4 linked regions of the Saccharomyces cerevisiae S288C genome follow. Changing the gene in region 2 together with the main gene of any one other region gives a genetic interaction. Each region holds a gene or a part of one and is shown on either strand. Other genes may lie near its edges. The genes, in order: TCP1, SET3, SIF2 and MOT3.

What was found.
Region 1: mutations in SET3 (region 2) and TCP1 together harm fitness more than expected from each alone (negative genetic interaction), as found in Saccharomyces cerevisiae (3 studies listed by BioGRID, with this or other methods).
Region 3: mutations in SET3 (region 2) and SIF2 together harm fitness less than expected from each alone (positive genetic interaction), as found in Saccharomyces cerevisiae (3 studies listed by BioGRID, with this or other methods).
Region 4: mutations in SET3 (region 2) and MOT3 together harm fitness more than expected from each alone (negative genetic interaction), as found in Saccharomyces cerevisiae (3 studies listed by BioGRID).

Annotation. Positions count from the first base shown.
Region 1 is NC_001136.10:884,269-890,909, reverse strand, and holds TCP1 (chaperonin-containing T-complex alpha subunit TCP1), read right to left. Parts: upstream 3,679-6,641; coding exon 1,999-3,678; downstream 1-1,998. Other genes in the region: UPC2 (Upc2p), read right to left, coding at 1-1,159; GCD6 (translation initiation factor eIF2B catalytic subunit epsilon), read right to left, coding at 4,045-6,183. UniProt on the Saccharomyces cerevisiae protein: Molecular chaperone; assists the folding of proteins upon ATP hydrolysis. Known to play a role, in vitro, in the folding of actin and tubulin. In yeast may play a role in mitotic spindle formation.
Region 2 is NC_001143.9:494,456-501,489, forward strand, and holds SET3 (histone-binding protein SET3), read right to left. Parts: upstream 5,379-7,034; coding exon 3,123-5,378; downstream 1-3,122. Other genes in the region: SAP190 (Sap190p), read left to right, coding at 1-2,903; GMH1 (Gmh1p), read left to right, coding at 5,827-6,648; SPO14 (phospholipase D), read right to left, coding at 6,889-7,034.
Region 3 is NC_001134.8:446,031-450,520, forward strand, and holds SIF2 (Sif2p), read left to right. Parts: upstream 1-1,678; coding exon 1,679-3,286; downstream 3,287-4,490. Other genes in the region: exocyst subunit EXO84, read right to left, coding at 1-1,293; YMC2 (organic acid transporter), read left to right, coding at 3,637-4,490. UniProt on the Saccharomyces cerevisiae protein: Antagonizes telomeric silencing in yeast. May recruit SIR4 to non-telomeric sites or repression.
Region 4 is NC_001145.3:404,798-411,218, reverse strand, and holds MOT3 (Mot3p), read right to left. Parts: upstream 2,066-6,421; coding exon 593-2,065; downstream 1-592. Other genes in the region: TVP18 (Tvp18p), read left to right, coding at 1-457; NAT4 (N-terminal L-serine N(alpha)-acetyltransferase NatD), read right to left, coding at 2,653-3,510; AVO2 (Avo2p), read right to left, coding at 3,635-4,915; UBX4 (Ubx4p), read left to right, coding at 5,646-6,421. UniProt on the Saccharomyces cerevisiae protein: Transcription factor that affects the expression of a large set of genes. Recognizes and binds to the consensus sequence 5'-[CAT]AGG[TC]A-3' in the promoter region. Plays a major role in the repression of a specific subset of hypoxic genes (e.g.

The sequences.
Region 1 (6,641 bases), on a different chromosome or scaffold from region 2:
CATCGCTGTTTAAAGTAGTTTCGCTTGTTTGTGATTGTAAAGGCCCTTCCTTTACCTTTTTGCTGTTTTCTTCCTGAACGCCACCTTCCTCATCGTTAGGTTGTTGCTCTTGCTGAAGCAGTACTTGTTGCTGCTGTTGCAAAAAATGTTGTTGGTATTGCTGGAGTTGTTCCTGTTGTTGTTGCTGAACTTGTTGGTGTTGTTCCTGACGTAATTGTTGATACTGCTGCAGCTGAACTTGCTGATGCTGTTGCAATTGCAGCTGCTGGTGTAATTGATATTGTAATTGTTGTTGAGTGTAGTTTTGGCCGGAAGGAATCCTGTTACATAGTAACATCCCGCTTAGACTATTTGATAAGCTCATTCCCGTGGATTGCAATGCAGGACTACCCGCAAGATCGAATGAACCATATCTCTCGTTTGGAGTTCCACTTGCTTGCTGCGCTTGGGTCTGTGGTTGAGATTGCTGCTGCACTTGCTGCTGTTGCTGAAGTTGGAACGCACCCATATTTCCAGAAGGCAATGGCGGTAATAGTAAGCCATCGATACCTGAATTCAATCTTTCAGGAGAACCAAAACCAATAGTGCCATTTTGAGAGAAAAAGTTATTCATCATATCTTTCTTATTGATGGTACCCTGGAGGCCCATACTTAGAGGAGTCATATTGTTTTTGTCCTCTATAGGGGCCGATGACTTTTCCTCGCTCTCACTCTTAGTTGTAGAGGCGCTTGATGGAAAGGAATCATTGGATGAGCCTGAAGCTTTTACCGCTGATTGGATATCATTGAACGGTGTCTGCTCCTTCTTGATCGTAGGAGGTAAATCTACCGATGAATCAGACTCCACGCTACCGTCTGCCTTTCTCGTGACATACTTCACTACTGTTGCTCCTCTACCTTTCCTTAAATGGATTGGTGTATACTGACATTCCAACTTCATATTTGTGCACTTCCTACAGGCTGGCTTCCCTTCATCACACTTAACTCTTCTTCTTTTACAGTTATCGCACCCATTCTTTGATTTGTTATGGAATTTACGTTTACCGGTTGAAGTCGTACTCACCTTTTTGCCGTCCACTTCAATTAGCTCGATGACTTTTTCTCTTCTTCTGGGTTTTGTCACCGCTTTCTTGTGATTCTGTATACCGACTTCGCTCATACTGCTGAACTGTAAATATTTGTACTTAACTTTTTTTGATTCACTATTTCTGGAAAGCTCAATTTTGTTTTAGTGTTGGATAAATGAGAAAAGATAGTTCCTACAACTTCAAAAAGTTAATGTATGTAAAAAATCGCTGTTTAGAGGAACAGTCAGCACTATCGCACCCTGAAAGCAATATCAATCTTTGACAAAAGAAGTGTCTACTTTCTATGCCGCGACTTTCCAAGTAACTTGTATTTGCTGATCCTGCCAGGGCGGCGCATATATAGATTTCGACAAGCACATTCACTGAAGACAATAGAATAATATTCGTTGGGCGAAAATTTGACGCGATCCCGCTAAGGTGCGCTCGTTTAGAGAAAAAAATAGCTTGGAAAAAACCTTATTTAGCTGCCACATTTAGACAGAATAACACAGCCACTATGGGAGATATTCACCCTGGGGATCATGTTTAGAAACAGGCTTAGCAGTAAGCGCAATTGAATTCATGGAATACACTCCGCATTCTTTTTTATTGCCGCCTTACTAAAATGTAACGCTAGCGTTAAGCTTTTTTCCTTTAACAGGGTTCCTGCTCGTTTACGAACAAACACAATAGTTTGTAGGGACCCGCTTCTGCATTTGGACAAGAAAAACAACTCAACGAAGTCCTAATAGGTACGCGTTATTACGTATTAGTCCACCTCGCACGTGAAAAGCTGGGAAGCGCTTATCAACTGCCCAGAGTTAGCGATCAAATTCAAAAATAGAACTAGCTGAAAAAAATATAATTAAATTTTATATAGGTTTATTAGTTTACATGCAGATACAGAATCTCGTTCGGATTACGCAAAGAATCAATGATCGTGCGGATCTTCTTTGGGTGGTTCTGGATCCACTGTAATCATTGTATCAATTCTTAGAATTGCTACACAAGCCTCCAATGCTGATTTCAAGGATTTGACTTTGCTTATGGTTGGCTCAAGAACACCAGCGTGAATCTCGTCCACAATTTTACCTCTAATCAAATCTAGGCCGTAATTTCTGTAGCTTCTCCTCTTAACGTCCTCTGGCTTGGCCATTTGACTAGCGGCATGGTAGGACCTTAATTTTGCAACTAATTCACTAGAATCCTTGGCAGCGTTAACAGCTAAAGTTTTTGGAATGATTAATAATGCAGCTGCAAACTCAGCAATAGCTAACTGTTCACGAGAACCAACTGTGGTGGCAAAATTGTCCAAATAGATATTCAATGCGGCTTCAACGCAACCTCCACCGGGGACAACATTTCCACTTTCAAGCGTTCTTTTGACAACAGAAAGAGAATCGTGCAAAGAACGTTCCATCTCATCTAAAGAATAATCGTTGGCACCTCTTAAAATGATCGAAGAAGATGAATGTTTAGAAGTACCCTTAATTAAGATACACTCATCATCAGAAAATTTGGCTTGAACTACTTCATCACAAAGACCTAAATAACTGCTTTCGAAAGTTTCCTCACCTTCTAAGTTAGACATAGAACTAACCAAAGTGGCGCCTGTAGCGCGTGCAATTCTTCTCAAATCTTCCTTCTTACAGCGTCTTACACCCATTATCTTAGCTTCAACGAACTCCTTTAAGCATAAATCATCAATACCTTTGGTGGTTAACACAACTTGAGCACCAGCATCAATGATCTTCTTCACTCTTTCCAAAACAATACCAGCTTCACGTTTACGGATTTGCTCCAATTGTTCCGGATCATCAATGTTGATTTGAACACCCATTGCCATACGAGCTTTCTGCAAGTTCAAATCCAAACATGCGATTTTCACATTGCCACCGGCGATACGTTTAGGCATTGCTTGAGAAGCAACTGTACAATTCAAAGCATAACCTGGCACCAACAGTGATTCAGTGGCAGATTTACCATGAGCTTTCAACACATTGACAGCCTTTACGGGATACTTGATTTCTCCTTTGGAATTTTGCGTCTTAACAGCCAAAAGAGCATCTACAACCATATTGCTGAAAAAATCAGAGTCAGCACCAATGATCTTAGAGGACATACTAGTCTTGGCTATATTAATTAACGTCTCTTTCCCTAAAGTGTCAACACTTGTGGAAAGAACTTCATTTATAAAACGAATAGCCTCTCTTAATGCAACCCTGAAACCAGTTATGATGGTAGTTGGATGAATCTTATTTTTGACTAATTCATTAGCTCTTTTCAACAACTCAGAAGCAATAATAACAACACTAGTAGTACCGTCACCAATTTCTCTGTCCTGTTGTTGAGCCAATTCTACTAAAATTTTTCCAGCTGGATGTTGAACATCTAACAAAGACAAAATAGTGGCACCATCGTTGGTGACGGTAAAATCACCAATGTCATCAACAAGCATTTTGTCCAGTCCAACGGGGCCTAAAGATGACTTGACGACGTTAGCCACAGCCATAGTAGCCAAAACATTCTGATTACGAATATCATCACCACTTATTTTTTCACCTCCTAGGAAAAGGGTATCTGAGCGCGAGTTATTGAATAATTGGGACATCGCTAAGTTATTACAAATATAAAAGTCTTCTGTCTATTGTTATTGTCCCTTTCTTGTACTCTCTCAGTGGCCTCTCTTTTGCTTAAGTTATTTACTCTTCATGTGATACCACCGCATTTCAATTTTTTTTTTTTTCAGTTCTTTGCCACTTAGGACAAGGTCCCTCGGCAAGTGAAAAAAAAAAATCTGAGATTATTATTTCAGTAGTACTACTGAGGATAAAAACTAATATGATAAAAAATATATATATATTTGCTTTTTGCTTCTGTAACATGTAAATTACTAAATCTATATAGCGCTCACCTTTTTCTCATATTAAAGCCTTTTTATGGTAATACATGATTATGCAGGGTACTGCGTGGACTTTTATTCCTCTTCTGAGGAAGATTCTTCGTCAGCATTCTGTAACCACTCAACCCACTTTACAGTTAATTTCTTGACTTCATCATAGCGAGGGTCAGTAGAAACATTATCCCACCATTTATAAATGACATCCTCCTCAATTATGTCATTATCGTATAGAGAAACCAATGCACTAAATAGAATCAAATCCGGTTTGTCAAAACTCTGTTCTACAATTTTTTCCATTATGATGTTCATCAAATCAATATACTCTTCTTCATCAAAGGCTTGTCTCTTGAACAACAGTCCCCACTGATTAAAAACCTTCACCACAGCGTCCTTGGGACCTAATGTTTGAGTTGCAATAAAGTGGTAAACTCTTCTCAATAATGCAGTTATTGTTGCTATTCTCACCTCATGATATGTCACGTTCATACTCATTCTCAAGGTGTTCAATTCTAATAATGCTGTGTCAAGATCATGATTGTTTTCCATAGCACGCTCCACGGTGGCAATACCTTCTTTCTCAAAATCTTCGTCCTCAAATTCAGAATCAATTTCTTCTCTATCCGTGTATATACTATTGACAGACATCGTTCTTCTTTTCTTTGTCTTTTTAGTGGCGGAAGAAATTGAATCGTCACTTAAGTATAACTCATCTAATTGGTTACTCAAAGTGTTTATTTCTTTGCAGGCTTCTGTAGAACTATCTTCATCGTCAGACACCTCGCTTTCGTAAATATAACCAACACCCTTATCTCCAACAATAGAAACGGCTAGTGTCTGATCATCAAGGTCTTGGTCAAACTGCTCATTGCTTTCATTATCATACATTCTTGAGCCGGCATTTTTTAATGGACTGGCAGATATTTTTGTGTTTCTATCTAAATCCATATTATCATCAATTTTAACGTTGAAACCAATTATACAGCCATCATTTAGGCGTACATTACTCCCTAACGTGGCATTAGAGGCAATTAATGAATGGTCAATTATACTGTTATTTCCGATGATACAGTCATCCCAAATGAAACTGTTCTTGATTCTAATATTTTCACCGATTTGGCAGTTCCTTCCAATCACGGAATTCTCAATTTTCGTACCCTCTCCGATTTTTGTTCCTGATCCAATTGCAGTGCACTTACCAATTTTACAGGATTGGGCCAAAACAACGTCTTTTTCCTTGTATATATGTCTTGATTCATAAGAATACGTTTGATCGTCCTGTATGTTAGAGTCTAAGACCAAGGGATAACACCATCTACCTAAAAAGTCTTGAGAAATGGTGTCGTAAGTTTGCCAACTTTCAACTCTTACAGCATATTCGTCCGTCAAATAGGCATATATATGCTTTCCCAATATATCGCTTGAAATGACACCTTTAACAAAGTCTGTCCTTAATGATTGGTAGTCAAAATTTTCTTGAAATATCAAAGGTACATGAGATGTACAAATGTCAATTCTACAATCGATGAGGTCATTCCTTATGACAAATTCATCGACATTATCCAACAATTCTGGGTCAATCTGAATGGAAGTCTTCTCTCTAGAGCTTGGTAATGGTAAATCTTGGTAATAAATACACCTACTGGTGGATTTGTCTAAGACAAATGCGGCAGGCTCAATAGTTCTTGTTTTTGGATAGGTACTCGCTTTGCTCAAACACATTGTCGAGATGTGATCTTTATCTTGCAAATGCATTTTTTTGTGAAATTCTAGCATTTTGCTGAAATCGATGTTAGTCAATACATCACCACTGACTAAAATAAAATCTCCAGTAATGATACCTCTATTATCTAGATCTCTCATAACATCACCCGTACATCTAGCTTCTGGAGACATAATGGTGGTAATTTTAAATGGAGACCAAGGCAAGTTCCACTTAGAATTCTCAATATAGTCATTAATTTGGTTGGCATGAGAAGAGCAAATTAAGAAAACTTCATGTACGCCAGCCTTAGCCAAAAATTCTAAGGTGTATTCAATGAGAGGTACGTTAGCCAGTGGCAGCAAACACCTTGGCTTGACAGCTGTCAGTGGCATAAACCTAGTTTCATAAGAGTCTGTCAAGACAACGGCCTGGAGACGATCTTCAACATCCATATCAGAGTTCTTTCCATGGTTGCCTAGTCCACTTTTCTTTTGTCCCTTTTTTCCAGCCATCTTTTGCCTTATGAGTGGTTTCTATTCTATTTTTAACACAAGACCACTTTTAGTTATTTTTATACTTATCCCACAAGGTGGTCCATCTGCCATCTTTGAATTGGTGATTTAACTCTTCGCATTAATCTACTGAAAAAAAAAAAAAAAAAAAAAAGAACTGAAAACCATCTAAAGTCAAATAAGCTCATGTAATACGGGCATGTTGCAAACGCGTGTGAAAAAAAAAGAGAAAGTGCTCGAGGTGGGGTTTGAACCCACGACGGTCGCGTTGCTTTTAAAGGCCTGTTTGAAAGGTCTTTGGCACAGAAACTTCGGAAACCGAATGTTGCTATAAGCACGAAGCTCTAACCACTGAGCTACACGAGCATTTTCGAAAGAGACGTAAATAACATTGTTATTTATACTGGAATTAGTACTAATAATTTTATTAAAAAAAAAAATAGCTCTTTCTGAGAATT
Region 2 (7,034 bases):
AGAACGAAGAGAAGGAAGAAGAAAATACTCTGCCCACTACAGAATCGGAATATGAAAATTATAGACCTAATTTGGACGTCTTAGACGATTTGCTGGATGATGACGAACTGTATACGGAATTAATGTGTTCAAATTTCAAGCTACTAATATTCTTGAAGTATCCTGATGTTTTATCAAAATTGATAGAATATGTTACCAACGAGAAGATTCTCGACGAAGAAACAGATAGCGCTAAAAAGCCAGAGATTATTGAAGGTGTAAACGATCATCCTATTTTGATAGAAAGAGACAGAAAGGATAAAAAGGAGGACGCTGAAGAAGGAGGCGACTCAGAAGAAACTACAAATGATAGCGATCATGACTCTGGGGACGAAAGAAGTGTTGATTCTGAAGAGACAAGCATTACTTTGCCACCGGAATCTGAGGAACAAGTGGAGACTAGAAGGGCAAGGATAGCTGCTGAAATTTTATCGGCTGATGTATGGCCTATATCCGCAGCAATAATGCAAAATAAGGATCTTCTTGGTAGATTGTGGTCGATACTAGATCACCCAGCTCCCTTACCGATACCAGCTTCCACCTACTTCATGAAAATAAATGAAAGACTTCTCGATATGGATATAACGGGGATGTTAGAGTTTATATTAAGCCGAGACAGCTTGGTTGCAAGGTTCTTGACACATGTTGACAATCCGTCTTTGATGGACTTCCTTTTGAAAGTTATCTCGACGGATAAACCTGACTCTCCCACGGGTGTCATAAAGATACTAAAATCACAGGAATTAATACCTAAACTTTTAGATCATCTTAATCCAGAATACGGTATTTCCACTCAGTCTGCGGCAGGCGATTTTATTAAGGCATTCGTCACGTTAAGCACTAACTCAAGCAATGAACTTGCTTCGGGAATAGGTCCTAATGAATTGACAAGGCAATTAGTATCAGAAGAAATGATAGAAAAGTTGATTAAGATAATGCTAAAGGGCGGTACATCCTTAAGTAATGGTGTTGGAATTATCATAGAGTTGATCAGGAAGAATAACTCAGATTATGATTTCATCCAACTAGTCTACACTACCCTAGAAAGTCACCCTCCCACTGATCGAGATCCAATTCACTTGATACATTTAGTCAAACTTTTTGCTAAGCATATGCCTGATTTTGCTGATATGCTGGATAAAACCAAGTTGCCACTAATGGAAATGCCATTCGGTAATATTGAACCTCTGGGATTTGAGAGGTTTAAAATCTGTGAACTTATTGCAGAACTATTGCACTGTTCTAATATGACGCTGCTAAATGAGCCCAATGGTGAGATGATTGCCCAAGAACGTGATATAGAAAGGGCCAAAGAATTAGAAACTTCAACCGAAAAGGAAAATATAACAGCTATTGTGGACAATAAATCATCATATTATGATAAGGATTGCGTAGAGAAGGATATCACAGAAAATTTAGGCGCTCTTCAAATAAATAATCAAGGAAGTGAAGAAGATGAATTAAATGATACTGGGGTATCAAGTGTAAAACTAGATGTGAAATCAGACGCAAAGGTAGTTGAGGGGCTAGAAAATGATGCTTCTGGAGTAGAGTTGTATGATGAAACCTTGTCTGACACAGAATCCGTGAGAGAATGCCTAAGGGAAAAACCGCTAGTTGGAGACAGGCTGAAGATTGCTCTAGAAGACACTAAGATACTGATTAGTATCCTTGATATGTTCACTGAGTTCCCTTGGAATAATTTTTTGCATAATGTAATTTTTGATATTGCCCAGCAAATATTCAATGGTCCCCTCAAAACTGGTTATAATAGGTTCCTCTTGAAAGATTATTTGGTTGATGCATACCTAACTAAAAAGATAGTAGATGCGGATAAGGCATGTCAAGACTATGAAAAAAAGACCGGTTTACGTTATGGTTATATGGGTCATTTGACATTAGTTGCCGAAGAAATATCGAAGTTCAAAGAGTATATTGATGAAATGAAGCTAACTTTTTGCAATACCGCTGTTTCAGATCGACTTGAGGAACCATTTTGGAAAGAATATAGTGAAACGATCTTGGCTGATACAAGAGAGAAGTATAACACCGTTTTGGGAGATTTTGGCAATGACCAAGAAAGCGATGACGATGTTATTAGGAATTCTGATTCTGAGGATATAATTGGTGATACAGAGGGCAACGAAAACTACGGAAATGGAGAAAACGATGAACTTCTTAGTAACGGGCATGATTCTGGGAACATGGATTTATATTATAACTTCAATAATAACGAGAATGAAGAAAATGAAGAAGATTACGCAGAGTATAGTGATGTGGATAATAAAAATTACTATAATAACGTCGAGACTAACGACGATGATTATGATAGTGATGATGGTAAATCCAAAAGTGCCGAATCAGAGTTTACCGATAAAATATCTGAACATAGGGATGGCAATAGTCTCTATAATGAGGACAATGATGAAAACGGGAGTGACAAATGGACATCGGGTACTTCATTGTTCCCTCCAGACCATTTTCCTAGTAGGTCACAACCTTCAGATCCTAAACTGCAAGACCAGAATATTTTTCACCATCAGTTTGACTTTGAAGGTGTTGGCGATGACGATGACTATATGGATCCTAATGATGATGGCCAGTCATATGCCAGACCTGGTAATCCATTGTATACTACCCCGAAAACACCACCAAGACCGAAGACTATTCTTTTCAATTCTTTATCCGCATTGGATAATAATGGCGAAGACGAAGAAGTGGCACTAGGCACCAGTGTTGATGATCGAATGGATAACGAGATATCAAGCGATGAAGAAGACTCCGAAGATGAAGATGAAGAGAATGATATGGGCAATGAGGAGGGCTACTCATTATATAGGTCAAGAAGTAAAGAAGCTTTCTGAACTAAAACATTCACATTGTCACATTTTCACCCTTTATTCATCAATTTTTTATTGCTCCACTTTTTTCGCATATAGGTCATTTATAATTCATCAAATATATACTTTTTTAATTGAGGCTTGTAATTTAATATTAACCGAATATAATCTTATAAAGAATAATGAATATTCACTTTTGAATATACTTAAGTTTATATAGGTGTAAGAAGGAAATGTCCATGTTTATTTCAGTAGTTTTTTTCTGTAATCCGCAAAGCTTAATTTCTTTTTCGAATGCAGTTGTGAGGACGAAAAATCTGATAAGTGCATTATACTTTCTGGAGTGGATTCTCGCCTTGAATTAACCGAAGCTTCTGTCATGATTTCTTTTGTTTTTGCTTGACTGTGTTGTGCTTCCTTTGACAGTTCTTTATTGAAATTTGAAAGAGAAGGGGTTCTACTTAATTTATGTTCATTCTTTGATTGACTCTCTTCGACATCGTTTGCAGTTTGCCTTGACGTCTTGTTTATTGGTAAAAGAACTGGAATTGGTAATTCTTCAATATTGGTAATGTGTGATTCGTCATAATCTGTGCTCTTCGTAATTATTAAAGGTTTTTCTGAAGTTTCATTTTTTTTGGGAACAGAAATATTAGAAGAATGTTGTGCAAATAAGGCGAATTTGAAGGGTTTTGCAATATCATCAGGATTATTTGTACTATCAATAGTATTCTTTTGAGGAATTTTTGGACCATTATTTCGATTAAGGAATTTTTGTCGATAAAAATTATTCAAAAGTATTGGAGCTCTTTCTATAGTATTTTGAGCCTTTTCTTCTAGCCTATGCAAAATTGGTGGCTCACGTCTCTTTTTGCAATTATATTGGTTGAGAATTTCATTTAATTTATATCTGTTGTTCATTTTTCCTCTGGATTTCACAGATTTATAAAGACTTTGCGCGTATCTCTTCACTTTCAATAAATAACAATCTTTAGAATTATTTCCACAGCCGCATTCGCCGTTACTCAAAATTGTTTCTACCGAATTTATCAGCCCATACCTTTCAAGGTCATCTAAAGAGTCTATTGTCATGCCCTTTATTAATTTTAATATAGGATGTTTTGAATCCCACTGCCATTTGATGTATAACTCCTCATCCTCTGAAATATCTCTCAAAGCTCTTAAAACAAATTTTATTCTACTTGATTTTCTTCCACTGCTTTTGTCATTCCTATTGTCTGTATCTTGCAGTTTTATAGTTACTAATTCAACATTCGGCTGGCAACTTCTTCTCAAATACCTAGTTGAATTGCCTGATAAGCGTGCATCTATATATATCGGCCAATGGGAATGGAAAATGACCCTTCTTTTAGCTGTACCCCATATCCTGTAATGGTTTCGTGGGTCAGTGAGATAATTTTTATAGAAGTCCAATTCGCCTAAAATTTCTTGAATGAAATCACCTTTTATGCAGTCCTTTTTGAGATAAACTCCTAATTTCGTGAAGCCTGGGTAAGTCCTGGAATATGCAATGTCAGCATACGGTTTGACTTCAATTGACACAGATTTAAAGGTCTTATGAGGATATTGTATGACCCAATTATCATCCATATGTTTATTTAAGAACGGTTCGATCAGATCACTTTTAAACACATTGTCTTTCAAGGGCAAGTATATTGCACCATATGCGTCTTTTGCACTCAGGAAATGCTCTTTTTTCTTGGGCATAGAAGTCAATCCATCGGAAGAATTGACAGAAGCGCTTTCGTTTTTGGAGTCTATACTATTATTTGATGGGTTTCTTTTCCTTCTTTTGTCCCTGTGGTTAGTATTGTCCTGATCCGTTGAAAAGCTATCGCCAACGTCACTAATAGTTGTACTCGATGCTCTGTCCCGACCGTTATTCTTATTACTAGCACTATTGTTTGATGAAGAAGGTTCTACTGTTTTTACGTTTATGCGTTCCTGCTGTATTTTCCTAGCCAAGTTAATGTCTACCTCTCTTGGATCACATGAGTTGCAAAGGTAATCATCAGGTGCCATCCCAATATCTTTGATGCCATAGCAAATAGCATGCTGCCATCTGTTGCAGTGGTCACATTGGATAGTGAATCCATCATCATCATTTAAATCACATATACATGTAATTATACCCGCGTCAGGATCGACTATATACGAATCAGGTACCGGCCATTGAGGTTGCTTTTGAGGTTGATTTTCGGTCTCTTCTTTTGCTGCCGTGGATGTTGCTGCTTCTGCCGCCGATTGCTCAGTAGCTTTCTTTAAAGGTAAAGAAACTGTGGATGCTGTAGCCAGTGCTGCTGCTGCCATTTCTATTGCTCCTTTTTTTTCTCTCTCATGAGACTCATCATGCTCAATAGTATCTGTTTTAGAGCCTATTTTTGAAGCTTCTTCAGCTCTTTTTTTCCCTTTTGAAAACAATAACAATGTGGATGCATCATCTAGGAGCGACTGCTCTTTGGAATTAGGTACTGACATGATTCAGTTCTCGTATTTTGTGAAGTACGATCTAAAACTGTTGTATATACGCTTTAAATCATGTTTACTAGAAAGGTCCTTTATTACTACTTTCTGTATATAGCATGTCGTTGATAATGATATGCATCTATCATGACATAGTAAGATGAATGAGTTGGTTGAACAATTTCCAGGGAAACAAAGGACTAGTTTCATGTCTTTAATGTTTTTTTACGAATAATATACCATGCTATAAAAGTATTATAATAAAAGGTATCGACTACCTGTAATCTAGAATGATAATTTCATACAACGATCACTTCCAACGGTTAAATAATTACCAATAGACCTTACTAGAATATTAAACTTAACAGGTTTAAATTTTGTTGAAATAACTGCAAAAAGCCAGAAAGAAACAGATTTGCACTATAATTTTTCGATTGCCACTACTTAGTCAACGGATTTATCAATGTCATATTTGCCGACTTATTCCAACGACTTGCCAGCAGGCCCGCAAGGCCAGAGGAGGCGTAATAATGGTAATGAAAACGATGCAAGACAAGGCTACGGTCAGCAATCTGTGCCGATGGTAATCAGGAGGCTTTTCAAAACGCCAAAGAATTTAGATCTCGAGACAGCCAGCTGGGAAATGTTCCATTTGATTTTCCATCCAAGAAAAGCTTATAGATCAATATATTATCAGCGACAGACGAAAAATCAGTGGGCGAGAGATGATCCTTCCTTTTTCATCTTCCAAATAGCCTTAATTTCACTCAGTTCTATTATTTGGTCGATTTATAATTCAGGTTTCAACAACGACAGTGATATGGGGGCCTTGAGCATTATAGGTCATTTTTTCAAAAGTTTGGTAATGATGGTGATTTTAGATTTTTTCATATTTGGATTTATTATGGCAACTATTTTTTACCTTTTGTTGAATAGGTCACATTTTAAATTCAAATCGAGCCAAAATAGTGTGGTAGAGTGGGCTTATTGTTTCGACGTTCATTGTAATTCATTTTTAATCATCCTACTGTGCCTATACTTCATTCAGTTTTTACTACTGCCCATAATTAATTTACAAAACTGGATTTCCTTACTCATTGGTAATTCGTTATATTGTTTTGCTATTGGCCATTACTTTATTTTAACCTTTTATGGATACAACCAGTTGCCATTCTTGAAAAATTTGAACTTTATACTTTTACCAACATTAGGATTATCGATAATCTATTTAATCAGTTTATTTGGCATCGACTTATCCAAGAAATTAAGCTTTTACAATTATTAAGCAATTGAACACGGAAATAGAAAAAATTTGGTTCTTTAAGATAAAGCACATAAATTACATAATGATATTATTATTATATATATTTGAAGTATAAAAATGCAATGAGTAATAAGAGCAATAATGACACTATGGACCAAAAGAATGCATAATGAAAACTGTTTATGTATCAGCGTCGAATGCTTATAACAGATAAAAGGAAAATACAGGTAATGGTGTGTTCCTGGTCGTTTTTATATTCCCTTAATTGTAGATTTCCATTGGAGAAAGTCTATCCGAGTTAAAAATCCAATTTCTACTCTCAACTTCTTTAGCTAACCATTCGGTTGGGAAAATGACCAAATGACCGTGGATCCTTTCCAAGATTCTCTGCGCCGTATGTTTGTCAA
Region 3 (4,490 bases), on a different chromosome or scaffold from region 2:
GTCTGCGTCTCTACATTCATACAAACTTGAATTCGAATTGCTAAACTTGAAAAGTAGCCTCTTAGTGGAAAATTCCTCTTGCGTGACAGTGACATCCTTTAAAGGATAGCACTGGCTTACTATAAAGTCATTTTGCTTATCTCTTGATTTATCGGCGATAAGTACCAAATCATTCAAAATGAAAATCTGTACCATCTGCAAGGGTTTACCAGTGGTAGTATTTAATTCCATCCAATTGGCACTATTCATTAAAATATGTCTTCCTTTCGTAGAATTGATAAACTTCTGAGCACCTTCAACGTTCTTAAACAGCTGATCCAGTTCCGTATCCCAAAATTTCTCTAATATCAAGACGCTCGATCTGTCCCTCCTCATGAGATTCCCATTTTGTCCTGCTTTCAAAGGCGGAAGTAACGCTGGACTATTAGAATGACTTTCAACATTGTTAAAATTGCCTTGTCTCTCTTGATCTATTTGATCCTGCAATTGTAACCTTTTTTCAGCTATTTTGGTGCACTGATCCAAAACCTCGTTTAAATCATTTATATTTGCTCTAACCCTTTTAAGCTCCAACATAGCAACATTTAGGTCGTTGTTTACCGTCATGATTTCGTTATATGATTTATTGATATTTAACTTTACTTCTTCTTGGACCTGTATCGATAAATCTGTTAAATTTGAGGTAAATTTATCAATAGTAATGGCACTCGCATTGCCTAGTTTATCATGAACAAAATCTTTAGCATTAAAATGCGGGTTTGCCAACATCTTTCTTAGCGACGTGCTATTATTGAAAGGATCATTACTGCCGGAAGGATTGACAGTATTTCGCATTGCTGATCTAGCAGGCACCTTATTATAGGAGCTGTCGTTCAGGGAGAGATCGGCAGTTGAAAGATTTAAACTGTTGGAAGGGCCTTTAGAGCTTACCGATTCGTTCTCAGTGGTGAAACTACTATTATTATGACTACTATCCACATTATCATTGGGAACTATCATGTTTGGCATATCAGGTAGGGGCATTGAGTAATCTAGTGTAGGTGGAGCATAATTTGTATTATGAATTGATAGTCTTCTCTGCATTGAAGTTGCTACCCTACTTCTCTCCCTTGCATTGATTGTTGGTAGCGTATAACTGGTAGCCGGATCCTTGAGATCACTATAAGGGTTCTTTTTTGTTTTTTGTTTAGGCTTAGCAGGCGATGGAGGTGTCTTTTGCTTAGCAGGAGAGCTTGCAGACTTCTTTACATGCTTCCAATTGTTTCTGGCCTTCTTCAAAGAAAACTCAACCATTTTCACAGTACAAATATTTCAACTTTCAGTCTCTTACCTGGTCTAATATGAAGGCTTTTTGTTCATTCGGCTTTGCTCAAGGTCTTACAAATATACTATTAACTGCAGTCTCTAGTCTCTTTTTCCAGTCATCTATTTTCATGGAGCGGAACTTAGCAAACGAGAAATAAACAAAAATGATTAGGAATGTATTCATGTTGAAAAGGTTATGAGATATGCAAGACCATTCGTTTTGATTTGCAATTAGTGAGAACAATTTAAACACCTTGGTGCGAAATTGAAGGTTTTTTTTTCCAAAGAAGTGTACAGCCCACACTAACAACTGCTAACTCAGATAAAAATAACAGAAACAAAAAAAAGGTAGGGAAGGCCCATCACACGGAAAATGAGTATAACAAGTGAAGAACTAAACTACTTGATATGGAGGTATTGTCAAGAGATGGGACACGAGGTGAGTGCATTAGCATTGCAGGATGAAACAAGAGTATTGGAATTTGATGAGAAGTATAAAGAACACATTCCTTTGGGTACACTGGTGAATCTAGTACAAAGGGGAATCTTGTATACAGAAAGTGAGTTAATGGTTGATAGTAAAGGTGATATCAGCGCTTTAAATGAACATCATCTTTCTGAAGATTTCAATTTGGTTCAGGCGCTGCAAATAGATAAAGAAAAATTTCCTGAGATCTCTTCTGAAGGAAGGTTCACTTTGGAAACCAATTCCGAGAGTAATAAAGCAGGTGAAGATGGCGCTAGTACTGTTGAAAGAGAAACCCAAGAGGACGATACTAATTCTATTGACAGTAGTGATGACCTAGACGGATTTGTCAAAATACTGAAGGAGATAGTAAAATTAGATAATATTGTTTCCTCCACTTGGAATCCATTGGATGAATCTATACTCGCATACGGTGAAAAAAATTCTGTTGCAAGACTAGCGAGGATAGTAGAAACCGATCAAGAAGGGAAAAAATACTGGAAACTCACGATAATAGCGGAGTTGAGACATCCTTTTGCTCTGAGTGCAAGTAGTGGTAAAACGACGAATCAAGTCACATGTCTTGCTTGGTCACACGATGGTAATTCAATTGTCACGGGTGTAGAAAATGGTGAGCTAAGACTATGGAATAAGACGGGGGCACTTCTGAATGTTTTAAATTTTCATAGAGCACCTATAGTATCCGTTAAATGGAACAAAGATGGAACACATATCATATCCATGGACGTGGAAAATGTCACTATACTCTGGAATGTTATAAGCGGGACCGTCATGCAGCACTTTGAATTAAAAGAAACCGGTGGCTCATCCATCAACGCAGAGAACCATAGTGGCGATGGTTCACTTGGGGTTGACGTTGAATGGGTAGACGATGACAAATTTGTCATTCCTGGCCCTAAAGGTGCTATATTTGTATACCAAATTACAGAAAAAACGCCCACTGGTAAACTTATTGGACACCATGGACCTATCAGCGTTTTGGAGTTCAATGACACCAATAAACTTCTACTTAGTGCCTCAGACGATGGTACTCTAAGAATATGGCATGGCGGTAACGGCAATTCTCAGAATTGCTTCTACGGACACTCACAAAGCATAGTATCGGCATCATGGGTCGGTGATGATAAGGTAATATCCTGCTCGATGGATGGCTCCGTTCGCCTATGGTCGCTGAAGCAGAATACGCTATTGGCTCTATCAATCGTGGATGGTGTCCCAATTTTTGCTGGAAGAATATCACAAGATGGACAGAAGTACGCAGTTGCTTTCATGGATGGGCAGGTAAACGTCTACGATTTAAAAAAACTGAACAGCAAGTCACGAAGTCTTTATGGTAACCGTGATGGGATTTTGAATCCATTACCAATTCCCCTCTACGCTAGCTACCAAAGCAGCCAAGACAATGATTATATATTTGATCTGTCATGGAACTGTGCGGGAAACAAGATTTCTGTAGCATACTCGCTTCAAGAAGGTTCAGTTGTAGCCATATAATAACTAGGTACAGTACATAAACAGATGAATTTTATCATTCTTATTGTTATTTCTTTGTTTACAAAAGGTGAAAAGTGAAAAATTTCGCAATGGAAAACGTCGCGGGCCGCCTTTGAGTGACGTTGTGCAGGAATCTCGAAGAGTCATCACTTTGAAGATAACGGCCGCTCGCGATGAGAGAAGACAATGAGCATTGCTTTTTTATAATTTTTTATACCTTGTGTTAAAATAAGTTTCTTTAATTAGTTTTCACCTCTTGGATGATACAACTGTAATTGATAAATAGGGGTAGCCATAAAGAACAGAAAAAAGCGGCGCAATAATTTCGTGTATTACAATTACAGTTAGTCATGAGTGAAGAATTTCCTACGCCGCAGCTTTTGGATGAATTGGAAGATCAACAGAAAGTTACCACGCCGAATGAGAAGAGAGAGTTAAGTTCTAATCGTGTGTTGAAGGATATTTTTGCGGGTACCATCGGTGGTATTGCACAAGTTCTTGTAGGGCAACCGTTTGATACAACAAAAGTTAGGCTTCAAACAGCCACCACAAGAACAACAACGTTGGAGGTATTGCGTAACTTGGTAAAGAATGAGGGTGTGTTTGCATTCTACAAAGGTGCGTTAACACCGTTATTGGGTGTTGGTATATGTGTCTCAGTACAATTTGGTGTGAATGAGGCGATGAAAAGATTTTTCCAAAATTACAACGCTTCTAAGAACCCGAATATGAGCTCACAGGACGTAGATCTTTCACGTTCAAATACTCTGCCACTATCCCAGTACTACGTTTGTGGGTTGACAGGTGGTGTAGTCAATTCATTCTTGGCATCGCCCATTGAACAAATAAGAATTCGTTTGCAGACGCAAACATCTAATGGTGGAGACAGAGAATTCAAAGGTCCTTGGGACTGTATTAAAAAATTGAAAGCTCAAGGTGGATTGATGAGGGGTTTATTTCCCACAATGATAAGAGCCGGACATGGGCTTGGTACATATTTTCTTGTCTACGAAGCATTGGTTGCCAGAGAAATTGGTACGGGACTAACAAGAAACGAAATTCCTCCTTGGAAATTATGCTTATTTGGTGCATTTTCCGGGACAATGTTGTGGTTGACAGTATACCCATTGGACGTTGTGAAATCCATTATACAAAACGATGATTTACGAAAACCTAAATACAAGAATTCCATTTCTTACGTAGC
Region 4 (6,421 bases), on a different chromosome or scaffold from region 2:
GGATTTGAAAAGTTTCAACTTTAGCGTATATGGTAGATGGTTTGGATATATCAACATAATCTTGTGTATTGCACTCGGGATAGCGAATCTGTTCCACGTTAGTGGGGTGATAGCTTTTGGTATCATTAGTATAATCCAAGGGTTAGTGATCCTATTCATTGAAATACCATTTTTGTTGAAAATCTGTCCCCTTAGCGATAATTTCATTGAATTCATCAAGAGATTTGAAACAAATGGATGGAGATGTCTTTTCTATCTAGCAATGGCGATAATCCAGTATATTTCCATTGCAGTGATGGCTACGAGTCTAATTGTGGTAGCTGTCGGGCTAACGATATCGTCAATCAGTTATGCGGTAGCATATACTAAACACCAAGAGTTCCAGAATACGAACATTATCAAAAATCCTACAGATGACGATTTCCCTCACGAGGCCGTTGTTAGAGAGATGTTGTAATCAGTTCCGTACCATACATAAACTATATGTATATAATGTATATATGCATAATTACTTTCTAAATTTGTGATTATTACTATTATCTTGATTGTTAAATGAGTGGGAAGGGATATTTTGTGTGTCTATAAAGTCTATCTATTTGTTGTGACTAACAATAAGGTTATTCAAAACACGTTTAACGTCGTCCTTATTCAGTACACCATCATTGATTAAAGTCTTGATGTTTGTATCGTAACCGTTTCCATCTTCATTTTCGGGAGCTGTTGCTGCTGCCGCCGCGGCACCGGCACCGCCACTGCCGCTAGCGCTATTGCTGTTATTATTATTATTATTGTCGTTGTTATTATTAGAGGAGGAAGAATTGTTGTAGTTAAAGATGATGTTGTTTTTCTTGAGTTCGTCTAATAAATAATTTGTATGCTTGAGTTTCATATGCTGTAAAAGATTATCTTTTCTCTTCTGCCTGCTTAAGCACCAAGGGCATAGAAAATGTCTTTGTTGCGAGTGTGACAATAGGTGCCTTTTCAACCATGATTTTCTTTTGAAAGACTTCTCACAAAATTGGCATTGATGGATATATTTATGGTCTGATGATGGGGCAGGAACCAAGTTCGAGGCCACAGGGTTCGAAGAAGGCACCGGCGCAGGGGGATGGTTAGGTGCTGTCGTAGGACGTGGTTGCGGCATAGTGTTTATTTTCCAACCAGGAGGTAGATGCAGAGGTTGTGCCGGGTTAATATTGAGATTCAAATTTGGAGAAGGGTTTTGTTGTAGTTGGAATTGAAATTGATCCGTTATTATCGTTGGATGGTGCTGAGGAGCGTTGTTTGTATTTACAGCACCACCATTGTTGAGGTTGTTGTGTGTATTACTATGATGGTGATGGTGATGGGGTGGACCGGGGGCCGGGGCTGGGGCTGAGTGAGAAGAGTTGTTGCTGCCATTGTTAGCGGCGTTATTACCATTGTTATTGCTGTTAACTGCTGAATAGTAATGGCTTATGTATGAAGCAGGATTGAACATATATTGTTGATCCTGTTGCGGTATTGGCATATTCGCAGTGGGGAAGGAGTAATAAGCAGCCGCTGCAGCATTTGAGTTCATATTTGCGGCCGCAGTAAACTGGTTTGGGTGAATATTATTGTTATTATTGTTGTTATTATTATTATTATTGTTATTATTGCTAGTACTGTTGTTTGCGACAGTGTAATCAGAAGCAGAAATATTGCTGTTGTTGCTGTTGTTGCTGTTGTTATGGACAATCGGCGACGCAGACATATTGTTACCAGCCGTCACATTATTGTTGTTACTGTTATTACTTGTATACTGATAGTAAGGGTATATATACTGCTGCTGATGTAAGGGCATTGGAAGTTCTCTTGCCCCAGAGTTCACCATAACGTCGTCCTTGTTAGAGGAAACAGTAGTCGTGTTGAAAGGCTGTGACGCCAGCGAATCGCTGCCGATATTGTTAGTGTTCGACACATTTTGTAATATCGTGTGCTGCTGCTGTTGATGCTGATGCTGATGCTGTTGTTGTTGATGCTGTTGTTGTTGATGCTGTTGTCGCTGTTGCTGCTGCTGTTGCAGGTGATGGTCCGCATTCATTGCTCAAATATGATATGTCCCTTTACTATTTGCCTACTGTTGCCTATTAGTTTTCCTTCTGTTAAATCTTTTCTTGTACCTGTTCCTTCTTGAGGAATTGTTTTGTTCAAGTTTTCTTCCAAAAAAAATTCCTTTTTTTTCTTTTTTTTTTTGATTGCTACAAGGCCTTAATTCCTATTATTTGTTTCTATTTTTTCTCTCTTTTTTCGTAATTCTTCTTTAACTTTACATCAAAAGAGAGACAAAGTTTAGTAAATCCAGACGGAGTAGTAGTATAAATACTATCCAGCGCAGATCATGACAGGATGATGCGCCTTGGTAGGATAAAAAAAAACAACAGCGGAGGCTACAGCACATCTTTTGAGGAAAAAAAAGAAGAAAATCAAGAAGAAAAACGAAAAAACCGGCAATAAACACCGTTATCGCCACTACTCCTTGCCGTGCGCAGTTATCGGAAGGCGCCGAAGGCGGAGAGCAGGGAGCGTTGTTCGGGTCTCCTCAGTCGGAGTCAAGGATTCGAGTCGCGCCGCCGCGTACGTAGTTTTACTTTTAATTTTTTTTTTATCGCGCGTTGTCCCTGTCGGCTTTCACGGCATGTGAAGGCAATATACGTAATAAAGCGGATCGCAGGGCACGACTACACGTCCCCCACCATGTCGCGTGTGACGAATTGTGGGTGATGCTGGTGCGGGTGATCCCGGAGCGCGGTAGAACCCAAGCGCCTCATATAGTCGCCGGGCCCGAGTGTTATCACTGAATACGGTGAGTGCTACACCGAAGAAATTGTCGCACATGCGGCGGGTGTGTCGAGCTACGCCATCGCACAGTGCATGCTCCAGTAGCCGCCGACCGATTCCATGCCCGCGGTGCGCGCTAGCTACATGTACTTCGTAAAGGTATATCACGGGCACGCTAACCTCGTGTAAAGCGTCACCTTCGACGAGACCCGTCTCCTCTGTAAGCATGAATGAAGTAAATGCACCTAGCACGCCGTTGTCCCAGTAACAGACATACACAAGGCCGGCGCTTTTCATCTCTGCGAGTTTGTTTGCCTTCCATGGTTTCCTGTTGCCGTACATAATGCGCGAGGCCCGGCGATACTTGGCGCCCAGGTGCTTGTCTATCAATTGCACACAGGCGTCCAGCACTTGGTCGCCGCGAGATTTGTGCAGCTTGTAGTTTATACACTTGAGGCTGTCAACGCTGTCAATACTGTCAGTGTCATCTTCGGGGATGTAGATAATCTCCCTTTCTAAAATAGCGGTGGTGAAGTTACCGTTTCCATCTGTATCCTTGTGCTCGATGGATTCAGGAAATTTTTCCACGCATAAGTTTAAGAAATGTTGGAACATTGGCGCCATGGCGACCCTCCTTCTTTCTGTTAGGTGCTCCTTCGATGTTCGTATACAGTTGTAAGTGTTCTCACTATATACCGAAGAACGCATCTCAGTGGAAAGAAAAAGAAAAAAGAAAAAGAGCTAAGAAAAAAATCTTTTAATGGCGCGCGCGCACCGCGCATACATATGTGGAAAAAAGGATGCATATAAAAAAAAATACGTAGTAGTCTTCTCAATCTTCTGCACGCGTGTTATTGCTATTTCTTAATTTTGAGATGGGTATGTTCAGAAGTGACACTCGTCTCCTCGGCTCGCCATTGTTTACCTTAATCTTGTACTTGTTCTCGTTCTCATCGTCCGGGTCCTTTCTTAGTCCCATTCCTATAGTGGCATCACCGCCATTGCCGCCGCCACCGTCATCGTTGATTGTAGCTGTCTGTGAGTCTCCTCTCACGTTGTCATTGCTCTTGTTAGGCAACAAGTATCTATTAATCAACGCGATGTTGTTGTGCGGACTTGTTGGTGTTGCACTGTGTCGTACTGATTCAGATACAAGCTCTTTCTTGGGCGACACACCTACTGGAGTCTTGACGTTGATGGAGTTCACTCTTAGTCTCGAGCTGGAATTTGAGCTTGACGAAAAACTGTCCGTAGACAAGGTTGGTTTTCGTGGGTTGAATACTGGATTTGTGATAGAACTCCTCCGATTCCCACCGTTACCGCTTGTTGTATGCGTTGATATCCTTCTTGGTAATACCGGCAACGGACTATTATTGGAATAGAGCGAATATGGCGAATTCATGCTTAAAACTGGGGAAGGCCCGTCCTCGAAAGTGGCCTTCGCATTTAGTATAGGAGTTCTGAATGAACTTGGTTTTTTGCCTGCACCCAACGGTGGCCCCTTCTTTTTCACCTCTTTTAACACTTTTGAATATATATTACCTACTTCAAACGTTTGTGCTACATCTATTGGCTTCCAATTTCCCTTGTCCCTGACATTATCATCCAAGGACACCTCACCTTCATTGAGAAGCATCTTCATACAACTTATACTGCCATACTCCAGGCATACATGCAGCGGCGTGTCGCCATTAGTGTCCATTACCCATAAATCAGCACCAACTCCTATCAACAGACTCAGACATTGGTAGTAATCGTTCATACATGCTATATGGATGGGGGCTCTACCATTCTCTCCGCGATGGTTGATAAATCGCGGAAATTGTTGCAAAAGTAAATGTAAGGTTTGCTCGTGCCCTTTCATTAATGCTAAATGCACACAGGTGTTTCCTTTAAAGGTTTTTATTAGTTCATGCTTGTCGTGCCCCAGCTGAATTAAATACACGCATATAAGGTATCTTCCATGGTATGAGGCGTAATGTAATGAACTCCATCCGTTCTCTGAGTCTATGTTGGTTAGCAAATCCGGATTCCGTCGCAATAATCTTTTCACTATAAGTAAATTGCCTTCAATAATAGCCTCCCGCAAGCGAACTGAGGGCTCTTTCAACATCTTTTGTTCAATATATCCTCTTTTCTAATGGGCGTTTTTTTTTTTTATTTTTAGGGTCCAGTTGATTTATACATTTTCAATTGTACCAGATCAAAAAAGTCTAGAGGAAAAAAACGTAATTAAGACAGAAGAAAAAAAGTATCAACTCCGGAATAACCGGGCCGCAAGAGAAATCAAACAATTAGTTGCACGAACATTTTTATCAGGAATAAGCAGGTAAGGGTAGGTATAAAGGTCAGCTCAGTACACGTATATCGTGTGAGTTATCTTTATTAAAATAATGATTCCAGAATAAGCGATGAGAGAGTAACGCTATTGGAATATGATATGGGAAATATCTTGAAACAATTTCAATAATTTGTCCATGTTTATGCAGTGTTGTACAAGCGTTTTTAAAGAAACTGTATAATATTCAAGATAGCGGGCGCCTCAACCGCTGTTTTGCTCCTCTTTTCTCTTGGAACTCTTGCCAAGAAAGATGTACGCCTTATAAAACGCTAGATGCTATTTCTTGCAACTTTATTACAAAATTTCAGCACTATTTCTTGCAATCCTAGATGTTTCCCTGTCTTCTATCTTCGATGTTAATTTAGACGTTTCTTCAAAGATTCAAGTTCTCTTTTATTGTACTATGTGTGGCAAAAAAAAAAGAAAACCAAAAAATGCAAAAACTAAGATAAATCTACGTACTGCGAAGAATAGCAAGGCAGACTAATAAGCGCACAATACAATGCCTATGGTTACCGTGAAGTATAACTTCCAACTTTTCAAATGTAAAGTTTCGTTGAATTCAACACTAAACGATGTGTTACACCAATCCATACAATTCTTTCAACTGCACACCTCGTCAAACGACTGGTCATTGATACATTTGGATAAACCGGTGCCATTAGATTTGCCATGGAGGCTTCTAAACTTACCAACGGGTGTCAACTTAGAATTATCTAAAAGTAGTAATTTTCCGGTGGCGAATAAGACCAACCGCGAAGATATTCCATTCAATACGATCAAAATACGGTTTCAAATCCCAGGAAGAGATTCCGTGGTTAAAGAAATGCCATCTGACCAACCAATTGCCCCTATCTTGCGACAGATGAGCGGCGCTGCGGGAGATGATTTTAAGATCCAGGTCTTTTCCAAGATAATAGAGTTCAAAACAATTAAGGATGAGAATTTGACTCTCGAAAATTTAGGGATTCAGGAGCCTTCGTCAGTTAGATTGATTTTTAATAATACATCTCATTCTGAGGGCATTAGCGCTAATAGCGCTATTCACCCAAAACAAACTCCCCCTACGATGACGAACCCGGAAACGGTTGCTTCACTACCACCTCACGAACTACATAAACCTTCTGTGTTTTTGCCCTCGGATGAGCCATTAGCAGTTATCAAGGATCAAATCGAGGATGAAGAAGATTATGAATTGACAGTAGAACAAGCCAAGAAATACCAAAAAATGTTATCATCGAAGGCTGGTACTTTGGGTGGTCCTATTTTGACAAAGAG